Linked DNA regions of Rhinolophus ferrumequinum. The protein of the gene in region 2 purifies or fractionates together with the protein of the main gene of each other region. This does not show direct contact. Links are inferred from orthologs where the notes say so. Each region holds a gene or a part of one and is shown on either strand. Other genes may lie near its edges.

Region 1 (7,489 bases), on a different chromosome or scaffold from region 2:
GGTTCTAAGAAATAAGTTAGATTTAGCACTGAACCAGCATTCATGCACATTAATTTCCACTTAGCACTTCCCTTTCCTTGTCTATAAATTGACCTCTCGGGGAACTCCATTGGTATAGTATCCTAACTGTCTCCCTGGATCCCAAATACTCGTCTCAACACAGATACAATTTTAAAATTACCCTCTACGAGCTGATCCTCTGCTACCTCTCCGCCTCACTCATTCTGCTAGCCCTAAGGTCTTTGATTCCCTATGCTGAGACCCCTGCTTTCCCCCATGTAGCCGGCGGGTTTGCTCCCTTACCCACTGCAGACGCATTTCTCAGGGAGGTCTTCCCTGAACAACCTATACAAAACAGTAATTCCCTGCCCCCCCCCCACAGCAGTCTCTACCCTCTTTACCCAGTTTTCTTTCTCTCTGTAACACTTATCACCATATACTATACTATATTTTACTTGACTGTTTCCTGTCTGTAAAAGGGAGGCTCCATCTTTATACTGTCCATTGCTGTACTGCCAGTAGTTAGGACAGTGCCTGGCTCTGATGAATATTTGTTGAATAAATGATTATATCTAGTCAAGCACATGGAAAGTTATGGCAGTCACTGACTGACTAAGAGCTGACAATATCCAGCAATGCTCTGATATATCTATTAAACTATGATTATAATAATTCAGCCTATTTTAAAATAGCCTTCAATAATATTTAAGCTTCTAATATTTCTAATTAAAAATTAACAGATGCCCAACTAAAAGGAAAGTATCTAAAATATTTGATTCAGATCACTGTTTAGGGTAAACCCTAGCTAATTATTACCCAAATTGTGGCAATTTACAAAAGTTCCAGATTCAGTGTAGTATCCAAGAGGAACTATAAATTGCCCTTCCATTACTAAATTATTCATTCACCACAGTAAACTTTGATTAATTAACTCCTTATTTGCTTTTTTGGTTTTTACTTATTCTGAGGTACCTGCAGCAAGACCCAAATAGACAATGATTTAGCTGCCAGCTGGTACTAAAAGAAGGTAACTCCCAAGAAAGTTACAGCAGCATCCCAATAACCGAAGCAAAAGTTGCGTTTCTACAGATTCAAATCCAGTTCTCCAGGTAGCCCTCTGGAAACATTTTCTCTCCCTGTAGGGATACTCTAAAAGAGAGAAGTAGAAGTGGAGAAAAGAAAGTGTGAGAAAAGAAAATGGAAGAACTTTAACAAAAGGCTCAAGTTCTTTAAACACCAAATGATGACTTCAAGCGTATTAGCTTCTGATTAATCAAACTCAAAGCATATGAAAACTGTATTTTGTGTGCCCCAAATGTACACAAGAAACCTCCTGTGTTTCTTTTTTTTAAAAAAAGGCATGAAGCATAATGCCTGGGTAGTGAAGAGGACCCTGGAACTTGCACTCACTGGTGTCTGGGCACTGCTAGCTGTGACTCCATGTCAGTTACACTAAAATTCTAGACCTTTAGGTGTCAGATGAGAAAGCTGGACTAGAATATCCTTTCAAGACATGCCCCAACAGAAATCTGATGTTTCGTTGTTAAAACTAAATACACTTGTTTTAGTTTTACCTACCCTAACTGCCCCGACATTCAAGGAGAGAAAAATATTAGTGCAGAAAATTCAATTAAAATTTTTTGTTCTGTATTTTTCTTACATCATTGACATCTGCCAATGCTTACCTCTTAAGTATTAACAGATGATTAAATAAACATCATCACGAGCCATTCATTACAAGCGTAACTTCACTTAACCATCACAAAACCGTGGGGAGGTATGTATCACCTTCTATATGACTTCTACATTACAGACTAAAGTTTAAAGAGGTGATAGAACCTGAGCAAGGTCACAAAGTAAATGCTAGGGTCTGGCTTTGAACTTAAACCCCCTAATTCCACAGTCTGGCCTCTTAAACACTACACTCTTTTCAAACAATACACTAAAATACTAATAATAGAATGACTCTTAGTTCCTTTTATTGTGGATGTGTGTTCTTGACTGATTTTTGCAGTGGAAGCACCTTTTCCTACTTTTAACTAGCAAAATTATTCTTGGTTTATGACAACACCCTGACCCCCACGAGCACAACCATCCAAATGGACATGGCAACTCCTGAGCTAAATCTCTGCGAGCTCTCCAGTTAGTTTCCCAGCACTCTCTTACACGACGGAAATACAATTACGGCCAGTGCAAATCTAACATAACACGCATGTGTTTGTCAGTGACCTCTTGGGTGTGGGTAAGAGACACACAAGCTTTCCCTGAAGCTTGAAAGAAGGCAAATCAACAATGACCGGTAGGGGAGCAGAGCTCACAAAGCGATTCATCAGCTCTCTCAGTCACGGCTTTGTTCCTTTCCTTCAATCGTGTGGGAGAGCCCTTTCCAGGTGAGTTGGAGGGTCAAAAGGAGAAACTGAGGCTAGAGGGTCCCTGCCACTGTCCCCAAGAGGCGCCGCACAGACCCACAGAAGTACGTACTTCTCTGCTCGGCGGTGCCAAGGACCAAATCCTGACAGGTCGTTAGAGGCCTGGGGCCCCCTCAGGCCTCCTACCGGACAACGACTAAAGGAGCGGGAGCGAGGGGTAAGAGCTTTCTAGAAGTCGCCCAGCCACACTCCCGCGGTGCCACCCCCCTTCCCTCCGCGACTCCCGAACGCTCCCGGGTGGGAAGGGCTTCCCTCGAGACTCGAAGACGAAGGAAGCCAAACGTCGGCACCCACCTGGGCGCGGCCTCGTCGGCCGGGCCCAGGACACTCACCGTCGTTCTCGTCTCTGTGCCGCCGCCGCGACATGCTGCACGCCGGTGCGCGGACGAGCCGAGTGGGGCGGGAAGCGCCGCAGGAACCGCGGGGACGCCGGCCCGAGGACAGCGGCGAGGCGCGCGGAGTGGCCGGCGCGCAGGCGCACTTGCTCGCGACGGCTCCCGGAAGCGTAAGCGGAGGCGGCCGGGTGGGCTCGGCAGGTTGGGCAGAGCTAGAAGCTCCTCAGGCCGCGGGCGTCCCGGCCGCTCGCCACCGCCCCCTCGGGCTTCCTCCGCCTCTTCTCTCTCCCACCTTTCAATGTAAGTCCTTCCGGGGACACGCAGATCGCGCCGCCTCCTCGGCCCACCGAAGCCCGGGGCTGCGAGCCACGCCTGGAGGCAGCGGTCTAGGACGGACGCTCTAGTCCCCGCCTCCACTCCAGACCCGCCCGCAGGGGCTCGGAATGATTTTCCCGGCGGCCCTTTCGCTCACATCCTCGAAGACTTCCGGAGCGAAGTGACGTCCCGAGCGTTTTTTTGCTACGTAAACTCAAGGTGGGGGTGGAGGCTCGAGGGTGGTGAGCAGTGTTACTGATTAGGCGGAGAAGGTTCAATGAAGAAAGGTGTAAGAAAGGATCGGGACTGGCGGGTACGTGCGCATCTTACTCCCACTTCGGGGCTTTTGCCTCCTCGGGAACGCTGGGCGGAGAAGTTGGGCCAGACCGGTGCTCAATTTCGATATACGGCAGCGTCCAGCCGCTTGCTTAATTAAAAAATGTAGGTAGAAGTCATTCGTGGCTCCTCCTTTTCCTTCACCTCCTACATAACAATCTATCCCTAAACCCTGCTGGCTCTACTTTCAGAACGAATCCAGAATCAGACGACGTTACTCCTTTTTGTTCCCAGTTCTCCCATGACTTGCCGTTGCAGATTTCATACCCTGACTTCCAGGGTTCTCGTCTCTCATCACTGTACTCCAACCACTCGGACTTTCTTCCGGTGCCTCCAATGAGTTAAGCTTGTTCCCACTTTAGGAATTGATACTATTTCTTTTGCCTGGAGATCTCTGCTTCTAAATCTGCATAGATGGCTTGTCATTTAGGTCCCAGCTCAAACATCAGGTCCTTCATGAAGCCTTCCCTGGTTACCCAATGTTTTAGTTCATTCAACAAATATATTGACATTTAGCACCTCCTATGTGCCAGGCAGTGTTCTAGATGCTGAGGATGCAGAGGTGAACAAAGGAAAATCCCTGCTTTCTTGGTGCCGATGACCCATCTAAGAACGGGCAAAGAAAACAGTGCAATCGGAGGTGGTGGGCAAAGGGAGAGTAGTAGAAGTTGAGATTAGAGCGGTGGTCGGAGGGGCTTTGTAAGTACTTTGGACCTTATCTGAGTAAGTTGAGAAGCCTTTGGAGACTAATCTTATTTTTTAAGGTAACTGTCTCCTACAGGAGGAGGGCAGTTAGTCTGTGGCAATAATTCAGTCAGGCAAGGATGGTGGCTTGAACGGAGTTTGTAGTAAAGGTGGTGTGAAGTGATCTGATTTGGTTGTATTTCAAAAAGCAAAGTTACTAAGATTTTCGGACGGACTGGAAGATGGTGTTGAAAGAATAAGGAGTCAAGAAGAAGCCCAAAGATTTTTGAGTAACAGGAAGGATAGAATTGTCATTTATGGAGGTAAGGAAGACTGGGGAAGAGCAAGAGTTTGGTTTTGAACGGTTACCTCTGAACAGCCTGTTAACCCTCCGGCTGAAGCTATCCAGTAGACAGTTGGATGTGTGAATTTGGAGATCAGGAGAGAGGGCTCCACCTGGAGATATAAATCTGGAGTCAGTATATAGTATTCTAACTTAAATTTTCCTTTATTTATGATTGCTTCCCTTTTTTTTAATGGAAGTTTCAAATATTTACAGAAGTTGAGAAAATTATACAATGAACCTCCATGTACTTTATCAACCAGCTTCAACAATTACCAACTAAGAGCCAGTCTAGTTTCACATATATTATCCCCCTCCCCTTACACAGTTATTCTGAGGCAAATAAAGTTTTTAAGTCCTTGGGAGTAGATGAGATCACTTGCAGGGTGACTATAGATAAAGTCATTCAACATTTAAAGTTGGGGACAATATGGAGGATCCGCCCCACCAAAGGCAATTGAGAAGCAGCAGCTCTTATCACTGATATTTTCATGTTTTTTAATTTGTTTACTTATTTAGTGTCCCTTACTGGAATGTAAGTTACAAGAGAGCAGGGACCTGAACTGTTTCATTAAGGCCTGCAGCCGCAGTACTGTTTTCTATGTGCCGGGCACATACCAAAATCCCCACATAGAATAGTTAGGAATATATAAGTTTAAAGCAAGAACTGAAAAGGATTGTGAGTGAGGGGAGGTCAATTTGGGGTGGTGGGACAGGTGTATGTGGAGACACTGAGGCAGGAGAGGGAATGGCGTGTTTGTGCCCTGTGGCCAGAGTAGGATACTTGAGGGAGAGTGTTGTCTGAGATAAGCCAAGAGTGGTAGGAGAACTAAGGATGTGCCAGACGTTTTACATGTCCTTTCCAGTCCTCACTACAGCCTTGCAACGTAGACATTGTCATCTGCATTTTAGAAATTAAGGACGTAGAACTCAGAAGTTTAATATCTTGCCCAGGTTCACATATTTGCACCCAGCTGCACCGCGATCCAGAGCCCATGCTTTTCTGGTGTTTTATGTTGCCTCTTTGTCACTTGTTAACATTTGTTTTATAAAAGCAAGAATGCAGTGTGTTGATTGTATAGTGTGTCCCTTTGGACAAGTCCTGGCCACAGTAACAATTTGTATATTTCTTCTGGCTCATTAAAATGGGGGCTGTTTCAGTAGTTATTTCTTCTACGAAAGGGAATTTGCCCAGCTCAAAATCTACGGGACAAAAAAGAACGGTGTTTATAACTGAAGTTGCTAGCACACAGCTTCGCTGATTTCCATTGTACCTGTGCTTTTTTGATATCATTTACCCTAAATGTTTGCATGGTTTGCCTCCTAATTCAGGTTTCTGCTTAAATGCTACTGCCTCAGACTACTCTCTGTGTTTTAAAGATCCCCTCTATCACTCTGGTTCCTTACCCTGCTTATTTGTCTCCGTAGCCCTTTTTACCATCTGACTTATTTTTTAATCAATGTATTCATTTGTTTACCTCCTGTCTCTCCCCACTGGAATGCAGAGACTTTTTCTGTTTCATTCATTGCTATATCCCCAGTGTCAAGAACAATGCCTGCTAAATAAATATTTGTTGAATGAATGAGCGAATGGGCTACAGGGCCCATGCTCATTTGCATCATTGATTAGCTTTGAGTTTACTTCAAGTAGTAATCAAAAACTTGGACATTGTTGTTTCTCCCTTGCTCACTTCCTAGGAGATAGTTAACTGAAAGGAATCTGCTCCATTCTTGCAACCAAGCCAGATGCCTTCTTCCGCTTCACCAGACCAGGGAGAGGACCTGGAGACCTGTGTTTTACGATTTTCAGACCTGGATTTAAAAGACACAAGTGTTATCAATCCCAGTAGTAGTCTCAAAGCAGAGCTCGATGTCAATACAAAGAAGAAATACTCATTCGCAAAGAAAAAGGTAAAATTGCTGTTGGTGTTGTGGGATTGTGCATGTGTAGTTAACGCAGATAGATCTAGAAGTAGCTTATCAAGGTTGTCCTCCAGGGAGTGGAAGGTTAGTGAGACACTAGGCTGTTGCCGTGTTCAAGGTAAGGTTTAGTCAGAGCCATTACTAGTGATCTTAATTCAATGCCAGGCAAAGGAGAATCGTAGGCAGGTGTGGCTCAGGAACACTTCTGGTGGAGCACTTGAGGACCGGTCCTAGACAGAGGGGCTGGGTTCCTTTCCCCACCTAGGGTGACAGGAGGAATCGCAGGAACCCAGGAGACCTAGTCATAAGGAAAACAGACACTAGGGCAGCTGCTACCTAAGACTCCTGATCTGGTCCAACTAGTATAAAGGTTATTATGAAAACTGTTACTCTCACAGGAAGTTCTACAGAATAGTAGAACATAAAACTGGAAACCCCTGTGGAAAGATAATAGAAGGGATTTCACTGAGACTTCCATTAGCCTTAAACCTAAGGTTATTTAACAGTGACATTGGCGTGTAATTGCAGGCATTTGCCCTTTTTGTCAAAACCAAAGAAGTTCTGGCACCTTCCTTTGAATGTAAAGAAAAATGGTGGAAATGCTGTCAGCAACTCTTCACAGACCAAACTAGCATCCATAGACATGTGGCAACACAACATGCTGATGAAATTTGCCACCAGACTGCTTCTATTTTAAAGCAGCTGACTATGACGATGAGCTCCTCCAAGAGTCTTAAATCTGCAGACAAAAGGACCCCTCTAATAGAGTACCTCACTCGAAACCATGACATGTCCGCTTGGCTCCCTGATACGAGCTGCTTTAGCCCAGATGAGCTGATAAGGTAAGAATTTCATTCTGTACTTTTGGTTTAATTTTAAACATGTTTTTCCAGCCACAATGAGGCTATCACTACCCATCCACTGAAATGGCAAGATCCTAAAGGCACAGAATTTCTCTACCGGCCTAAGCTAGGCCGATAAACATGTACTATGGGTAATAGAAGGTCATAGTCTACGCAGTACCACGTACCCACGCAGCAGGCAGTGTTGCTAGGTTTCTCAGAAACCATCCTACATCTTCTAGGGAAAGGTAAAGAATAGAAAATTGTATTATTTTCAAAGAG
Region 2 (7,262 bases):
TTACGTGAAGGAGATTATCCCCATTATCCACATTCTGGATTACTGCCTGCTTTCAAGAACTGTCCCAATTAGTCTACTACACTAGGTCAGAACCATTTTATCACTTAGGTCAGTTTTGTAGAGTTGGAACATCTTTAAATAAAACAAAACGAAATAAAACTGTACTGTTCCATCAGTCTTCATCCCTGCTCTTTCACTGCAGGGCCTCAAACTTTTCTAATGCAGGCTCTATTTGGCCCCTCAGTGGCCTAGGGCCACCTTCTGCTTACTGCAGCAAGAATACAAATCAGCCACAACAGCTAATTGAATTGTTCACCATTTACAATGTTTTCTTCCATAATTATGGCTGAATTCATAATACCCTGCAAAGTACAGAAATCTTAAAACAAAGATAGTAACGGAATTATCTTTATCACTAGATCAGTCATCTTTACATACATGGACCAAAGTCTTAACTGATTTTATACAAAAGTCTTAATTGATTTTATACAAAGTATTCATATATACTTCTAAAAACAATCTGACAGAGATAAAATACAAACATCATAAATCATCAAGACTTCATCATTAATTCAACAAACACTATGCCTAAAACATTGTAAATTAAAATAAGATATAATCCCTACTTTCAAATAAAAGGGAAAATATAAAAACAAAATTGATAGCAACAGGGAACAAAGAAAATAATCCAGGAAACAACACAGAGCAATTCCAGACTATCTGGTATAATTGTAACATAGTTAAGGCTAAGGAAAATTATAAAAATTGGACACATCTCTGACTCTCCTCACAGCCAAAGTGTAAAGAGAAACACCAACACCTACAAAACACAAACAATGTAATAAAAGCAGCCGTTTGTTTTTTGTTTGGTTTTTTTTTTAAAAGGCTCATCACTGGGGTCTTAAAAAAACTGTCTCAAAGTCTCTACTCTGTAAGAATAAATAAAAAAAATTAGAAACAGTGTCTTGGATGGCAATGAAGAGTTTCATGTTGCCTTTTCTTATGTATCAATCCTAGATAGAAGTCAAGATACATAATATTAAATCATAGCTTTGTGAAGAAACTTCCATGAGGACATAAAATAACATAATGCAAATATACTGACTTCAGATGAGGCATTTAGTTCTATCATGTAGTTTATTCTAGGTTTTTATAAATGTATGTTTTGGTTCCCTACTACTGTAAACTCAAGGCTTATGTTACCTGATTCTATTTGAACTTCCTTTGCTATTTAGGAGAGTTGTTTACAGTTTCTGCTCAACTATAATGACAAATGAAGTGTTATGCAGTGTTTACATTCGTTATTTGTTAGTCTTCCCCTCTACACTATAAATTATATGAGGACAGGAAGAGTGTCTTAACCATGTCTTGTATCCCCAGTGTTGGGGCACATGATCACTCCATAAGTATTAGCTGAATGAATGGGTTAAATAAAGAAAACACAACCAAGAGGTACGAAAGGAGATAAATAATTTTTTAAAAGTGGCAGTAACTTTGGGTTCTAAGGCTGGTTCCAACAAGAGCTGGATGACCTTAGGTAAGTTCTATTTCTGCAATCGTCCAAGTTTTCATCTGTAGAACAGGAAAAATTAATATCTACTTCAGAGTTACTGTAAGCATTAAATGTTTTAATATAAAGTATTTAGCACAAAACTTGGAAAGGAACTCAATGAATGTTAATTCCTTTACTTTTGCTCATGTCCCCCAACTTAAAATCAGGTATTACACATAAAAGCGCCCCTTCCAATAATAAATTATTACAGTAAAAATACAAGAGAGTTCATTTTCACTTTTCTTTGAAAAGTTCAAATTTCATCTCTTCAATCTTTAAAATGGAGGGGGAATAACCTGTGGATTACTTTCAAAATATCACAAATACAAGAACAAGTTGAGGAAAAAACAATGTCAAGAATGACTCTTAAAGCAACAAGAGGGAGCAAAAACATCCTTCATCGGCTAGAAACAAGTTTTGAAGAAACTGTTTTATTAAAGAAAAAAGTAATATTATTTAATATGTTTCAGAAGAATCCTGCAAAATTGTTTACTTTTAATTTAAACCTTAAAAATCAATTCTTGTGAAATCTTTCACTTACAAGTGGGATGTTAAATGCTTTCATTCAAACCTTAAACATTCCTTCATGACGACTGCCCTGACTCCAGCCATCCTCCAGTTTCCTTGTCTCTAATACTTCGCTGTTTCCCTCGAATCACCACTTACACACGCAATGTGCAGACTGAGTTCTGTCATTCCTATAATTACCACACCCCTGTCAGCCGCTTCAGGCCCATGTTGTTATGACATCTGTAAACTGCAGTCGTTACGTCTCCACCCCCGCCTCCACCTCCCTCCAAACCACCGGCTCCGGCTCCGGCTGTAACTTGTGAATTCCCAGACCGTCCCATCCAGCCTGGCTTAGGATTTTCGCACGTCCCCCATCCCTGCTCTTTCCTGCCTCAGTCACAGCACTCTGCGCTGCGCACCCCGTCCCCCACCCGCTCGCTCGGGGCCACAGCGCAGGCTCCGCGCTCGCCTCCTCTCCGCCCCGCTGCCTCGGCGCCCCGCAGTCACCGCCGCCGCTTCCAGCACCGCCGCCGCCCCGCCTCGACCGGCGTTCCCGATGGCGATCACATCAGCGCTCCCCCCCCCCGCCGCCCGCCCCAGTCACTCCGCCGGCCGCGCGGCCGTTAGGACAGCCGGGCCAGTGACGCACCGACGCGCCGCGAGCGCCCGGGCCCAGGAACCCGAGCTCGAACACGGCCGGCGCCCTCCCACGCCCCGGGACCTCTCCCGGGTCCCGCCGAGGACTGCCGGATCCGCCGGCGGGAGGGGGAGGGGCCGGGGCCGCAGGGGTCCCCGCACTCACCAGGCTAACGGCGGGCGATCCCCGTGCCACTGCTGTGGTGAGCCGCTTGCTCGCTCGCCGGCCGCAGTACCCCTCGCGCACACAACCTCGAAGAGCCGGCGAGATCCTTGGCCGTGCTCACCAGGCCTCGCGATCCGCCGCCGCGCAACCAGCAGCAAGACCTAGCTCAGCCGGCGTTCGCAGTGCGTCTGCGCACGGGGGCCGGCCCTCGCGCCTGCGCGCGCCCCTTCGCTGCCCTGATACAGAGGCTGCCGGGAGATGTAGTCTTTCAACCTTCTTTCGGTGGAACCTCTCTCCGTTATCCCAACCAGCTGAAGAGTGGGAGGTCGAGGAGAAGGTCTCGCTGAGGAGGTTCGGAGTCAATTGTAAAGGTTGTAGAGTTGTGGTGGGTGGAGTGACCATTAAACGGTACTTCTTAGGTTGAATTACGAAGTTAAAGCTATAAAACCTGTCGTCGAAGCTCTTCCAGGGCGGATCGATCCCTTGCTCATCTCTATCTGTATCTAGCTTCCGGTAATGCCGTTAGTACCTAATATATTTTTCTTTTCTTTTCTATGGCTGGCAACAATGATAGCCATCTTTTAGGCATTTGTTTAAGTAAACTATCTCCTTCCATTTGTATAAAGTCAAAAATTTCATTAAATTCTTCCGTACATTTTGAGGACGCTGAAATTGACCAAACACTTTCATTATGAAAACCTCCGTATCACAGGTAAGCAAACCACACCCTTCTTTTAACAGTGTTCTGTATAAGGTGTTTGTTTAGCAGATGACACCCTTTCATTTTCTTTGGTAAGAAGTTTAGACTGGATAGAACTTGTCAAAATTAACATTCGCACTGAAAGCAGATAAATGAGTCAATTCTACTTTGTCTTTGGACAAGATGTAACACCCTTTGGTTTATGTGTTGTGGTTTCATTAAAATCTTAATAGACATCTTGAAGACAATTTGAAACTTCACTTTTCAAGTCAAATTACCTTTAGAGCTAGAGGGAACATGTTTTTGAATCAGGAAATGTAACCTCTCTCACTTCCGTAGATCAATCCAAGGCATGATACAATAATGCATATTGGTTCATGTGACATGCCCAAGATAATTCAGCCATTATTTTCAACTGAGCATGGGTGTCTCTTGAGGAAACTAAAAAACTTTTGAATTTAAAGTACTGTCTGTCTCATTCCAGAGTTGTAAACTGATTTACAGGGGCTTTCACATCCCCTCTCCACCATGCCCAATCCAAAATACTTCTCTACGTATTGTGCAGTGTGTTCTGTTTTTTCCTTCCTAATCTAGTTATATTGTCCTTCCATCTCTCATTAACATTACACAGTCATTTATATTTCTTTTTCAATGATGTTTGGGTCATGCTGTTGTTGGTATTATAATCATTCTCATTCTCATTATCTTACCTCTTATAAGGCATGGTTACCGTATTCATGATGCTAAAAAATTCAGTTTATACGAAGCACAACGATTAATCCACAGGCAAAGCCAAAGATGGACTGCTAATGCTTACGACTGCAGTGCACTTAAATTGCACACTTAGGTCACCTCCCTCAGAACGCTACAACAATTATCATAATTGTGAAATGCAACTCAGGGTTATCAACATCAATGGTCGGGGACAAAAACAATGATGGTGACTATAGATAGAAGTCAATCTATGGTGTGTCCATTCGACATTAAAAGCAGTGTTGCTTTCAGCCCCTATTTTGAGGGGGCAGTCATGGATTTTGTACTTTTCCCCTAATCTCCCACACCCATTACAAGAAGACCAAGATTTTTGGCGTGAGTGCTGGGAAGGCTGCCCAGGATGTGAGAATTTTGGTGCTAAATCCCAGAAGGTCGGGCAAATCAGGATGGCTGGTCACTCTTTCCCACCTGTACTGGCCAGATGGATCCTCTTCATCTAGCCAGTATAGCCATTCCCTTACCTGCTGTGAGTGCTGGCTGATAACTGTCAGCTGCCCCCTTCTCTGAATTGCAGACCCCAAAGGAGCCAGCTTTCTAGAAGGCTCCCACTCCCATCCCCAAGGACAGGTGTAGTCCAGTAATTGACAGAGTTCAAAGGGACAACCCTTGCTACAGAATGGGACTTACTCTAATGGTACAATTTGTGCTCTAGAACTTCCCCCTGGAATCAGACTGAAGCTTTCCCCTAACCCCATATTCCCTGAGAGTGCTTCCTCAATAAGTCACTTATTGAGAAGAGTGGCTCAAGAGTGAACAAGAATCCCCATCTCAGGCTCTGCTTCTAGGGAACCCAAACTAGGACATGATCCAAATTTGTTTTCCATTTCCTTAACCTGTTGTCCAAAACCACTTATTGAGGTTGGTCCATTGTTTTCCCAGTGATCTGCAATTTTACCTCTGTCATTCATATAAATACACATATTCAGGGCTCTATATTGAGAAAAGTATACATATAGATAGTTACATGACACTCAGAAAAATGAAAAGATCCAGTGAGCAAAACTGCAAGCATAAAATAGCAGTTTTGACCTGAACGTGAAAACTTGAATAAGAAATCAATTGTATTTTTTATCACATAAATTCTGACTTTTAAATGGTACTTAGCTTCTCATTGCAAATATTTGCAGGAAATTTTGAAATGTACCATAAATATATTGACACCATAAAACCTGCAATGTGAAAATGTGCATCATAAATATCACAGAATATTTATGTATATTTATATAATTTATATAGTATATATAATATGTAAACAAGATATATATGTATCTTGAATATACATAGTTATCAACTTTATTTTATATATATTCAATATATAGAGTTACGTATCTATTTTGAGATATATACATTCAAGATACCTATATTCTCAAATTTCCACATTAGCGCAGGTCTGTTTTGGAGGTTTCTATTTTACTCAGCTTTTTTTGGTCTATCCCTGCACCAATAACACATCTGAATTACTGTAGTTGTATAAGTCATGATATGTTATAGATCAAATCACCTTCACTTTGTTATTATTCTCTAAAATTGCCTTTGCTTTTCTTTGGCCTTTTTATTAAATATAAATTTTATAATAACTCCATCAATTTCTATGAAGAAAATCTGGCATGATTTTGATTGAAATTTCATTGAATTGATATGATTAATTTTTGAAGAATAGCCATCTCTATTATATTGTCTTCCTCTGGATGAGGAGATAGTATACCTCTCCATTTATTTAGGTCTTCTTTAATGCCTTTCAGTGATGTTTTGTAATTTTTTTCATGAAGTTTTTATACGTCTTTTGTTAAATTTATGTCTAGTTACCTTATTTTTTTTTTTGCTGTTGCTATTGTAATGGTAAAAAATGTCACATTTACTGTTTCTCATGCATAGGAATGAAATTGATTTATGTGTAACTTCCATGTAGAACCTTGGAGAATGCTTTTATTAATTCTAATAACTTGTCTTCAGATTTTCTTGGATTTTTCTATAGACAGTCATATATCCTGTGATTAATGACATTTTCATTTCTCTATTTTCAGTCTTTTTTTTTTGGTTTGTTCTTCTTTTACTGTCTTTGACAGAAGCTCTAATTCATTTGCTAAATTTAAGTGGAATAGGAAGCATCCTTTGTCTCATCCTGATTTTGTAGGGAATCGTTCTAATGTTTTAACATAAAATATGATGTTTGCTCTAAGTTTTTGGTACAGAATCTTTTATAAATTGTTTATCAAATAACTTTTCTCTATATATATGGAAATGAGCATACCATTTAATATGTAGTTGAACAACAACTGCTTGAATTGCGCAGTCCACTTATGTGCAGACTTTCTTTTTTCAATAAATACCTGTTCTGTTTTCCATACGCAGCTGGGAGTCCGCGGATGCAGAGGGTGAACTGTGTACATTGATCTATGACATTTTATATAGGGGACTTCAGCATCCCAGGATTTTGGTATCCGTGGGGGTCCTGGAACCTACCTCCACCATGGTTACCGAGGGACAACTTAAGTCTTTGGGGAGTTAGAAATTATATGCTGATTTTTGACTGTGCGGAGGTTGCCACCCCTCCTAAATCTCATGTTGTTCAAGAGTTGGCTGTAACTACATGGTGATTTACATTAATAGATTTTTCTAAAGTTAAGTTATCCTTGAATTTCTGAGATAAACCCAAATTGACCATGATTTATTTATATAGAGATAAATTATATTTAATATTTTGATTAGGATTTGTGCATCTATGTGTATTTACATAAATGAATGTCTATTGTTTTTCCTGTTGTATTTTATGTCTGTATTTTATACTGTTGTCTATCTTTGGTATCAAGGTTGAACTAGCCCTGAAAATTTTGGGGGGAGTATTCCTTCTATGTCTGTTCTCTAGAAGATTTAATATAAGATTGGAATTATCTGTTCTTTGAAGATTTGGTAGAACTCACTAG

Evidence for each region.
Region 1: the proteins of KPNA1 (region 2) and NCBP1 purify together in Homo sapiens (co-immunoprecipitation; 3 studies listed by BioGRID and IntAct, with this or other methods). This does not show direct contact. The link is inferred for Rhinolophus ferrumequinum from reciprocal best matches to the Homo sapiens genes KPNA1 and NCBP1.

What each region holds. Positions count from the first base shown.
Region 1 is NC_046295.1:54,148,977-54,156,465, reverse strand, and holds the start of NCBP1 (nuclear cap-binding protein subunit 1), read right to left. Parts: upstream 3,040-7,489; 5' UTR 2,796-3,039; coding exon 2,762-2,795; intron 2,391-2,761; exon of another isoform or gene 2,313-2,390; intron 1-2,312. Other genes in the region: TSTD2 (thiosulfate sulfurtransferase/rhodanese-like domain-containing protein 2), read left to right, coding at 6,189-6,353, 6,894-7,207. UniProt on the Homo sapiens protein: Component of the cap-binding complex (CBC), which binds cotranscriptionally to the 5'-cap of pre-mRNAs and is involved in various processes such as pre-mRNA splicing, translation regulation, nonsense-mediated mRNA decay, RNA-mediated gene silencing (RNAi) by microRNAs (miRNAs) and mRNA export.
Region 2 is NC_046285.1:47,276,014-47,283,275, forward strand, and holds the start of KPNA1 (importin subunit alpha-5), read right to left. Parts: upstream 3,062-7,262; 5' UTR 2,865-3,061; intron 1-2,864. UniProt on the Homo sapiens protein: Functions in nuclear protein import as an adapter protein for nuclear receptor KPNB1. Binds specifically and directly to substrates containing either a simple or bipartite NLS motif.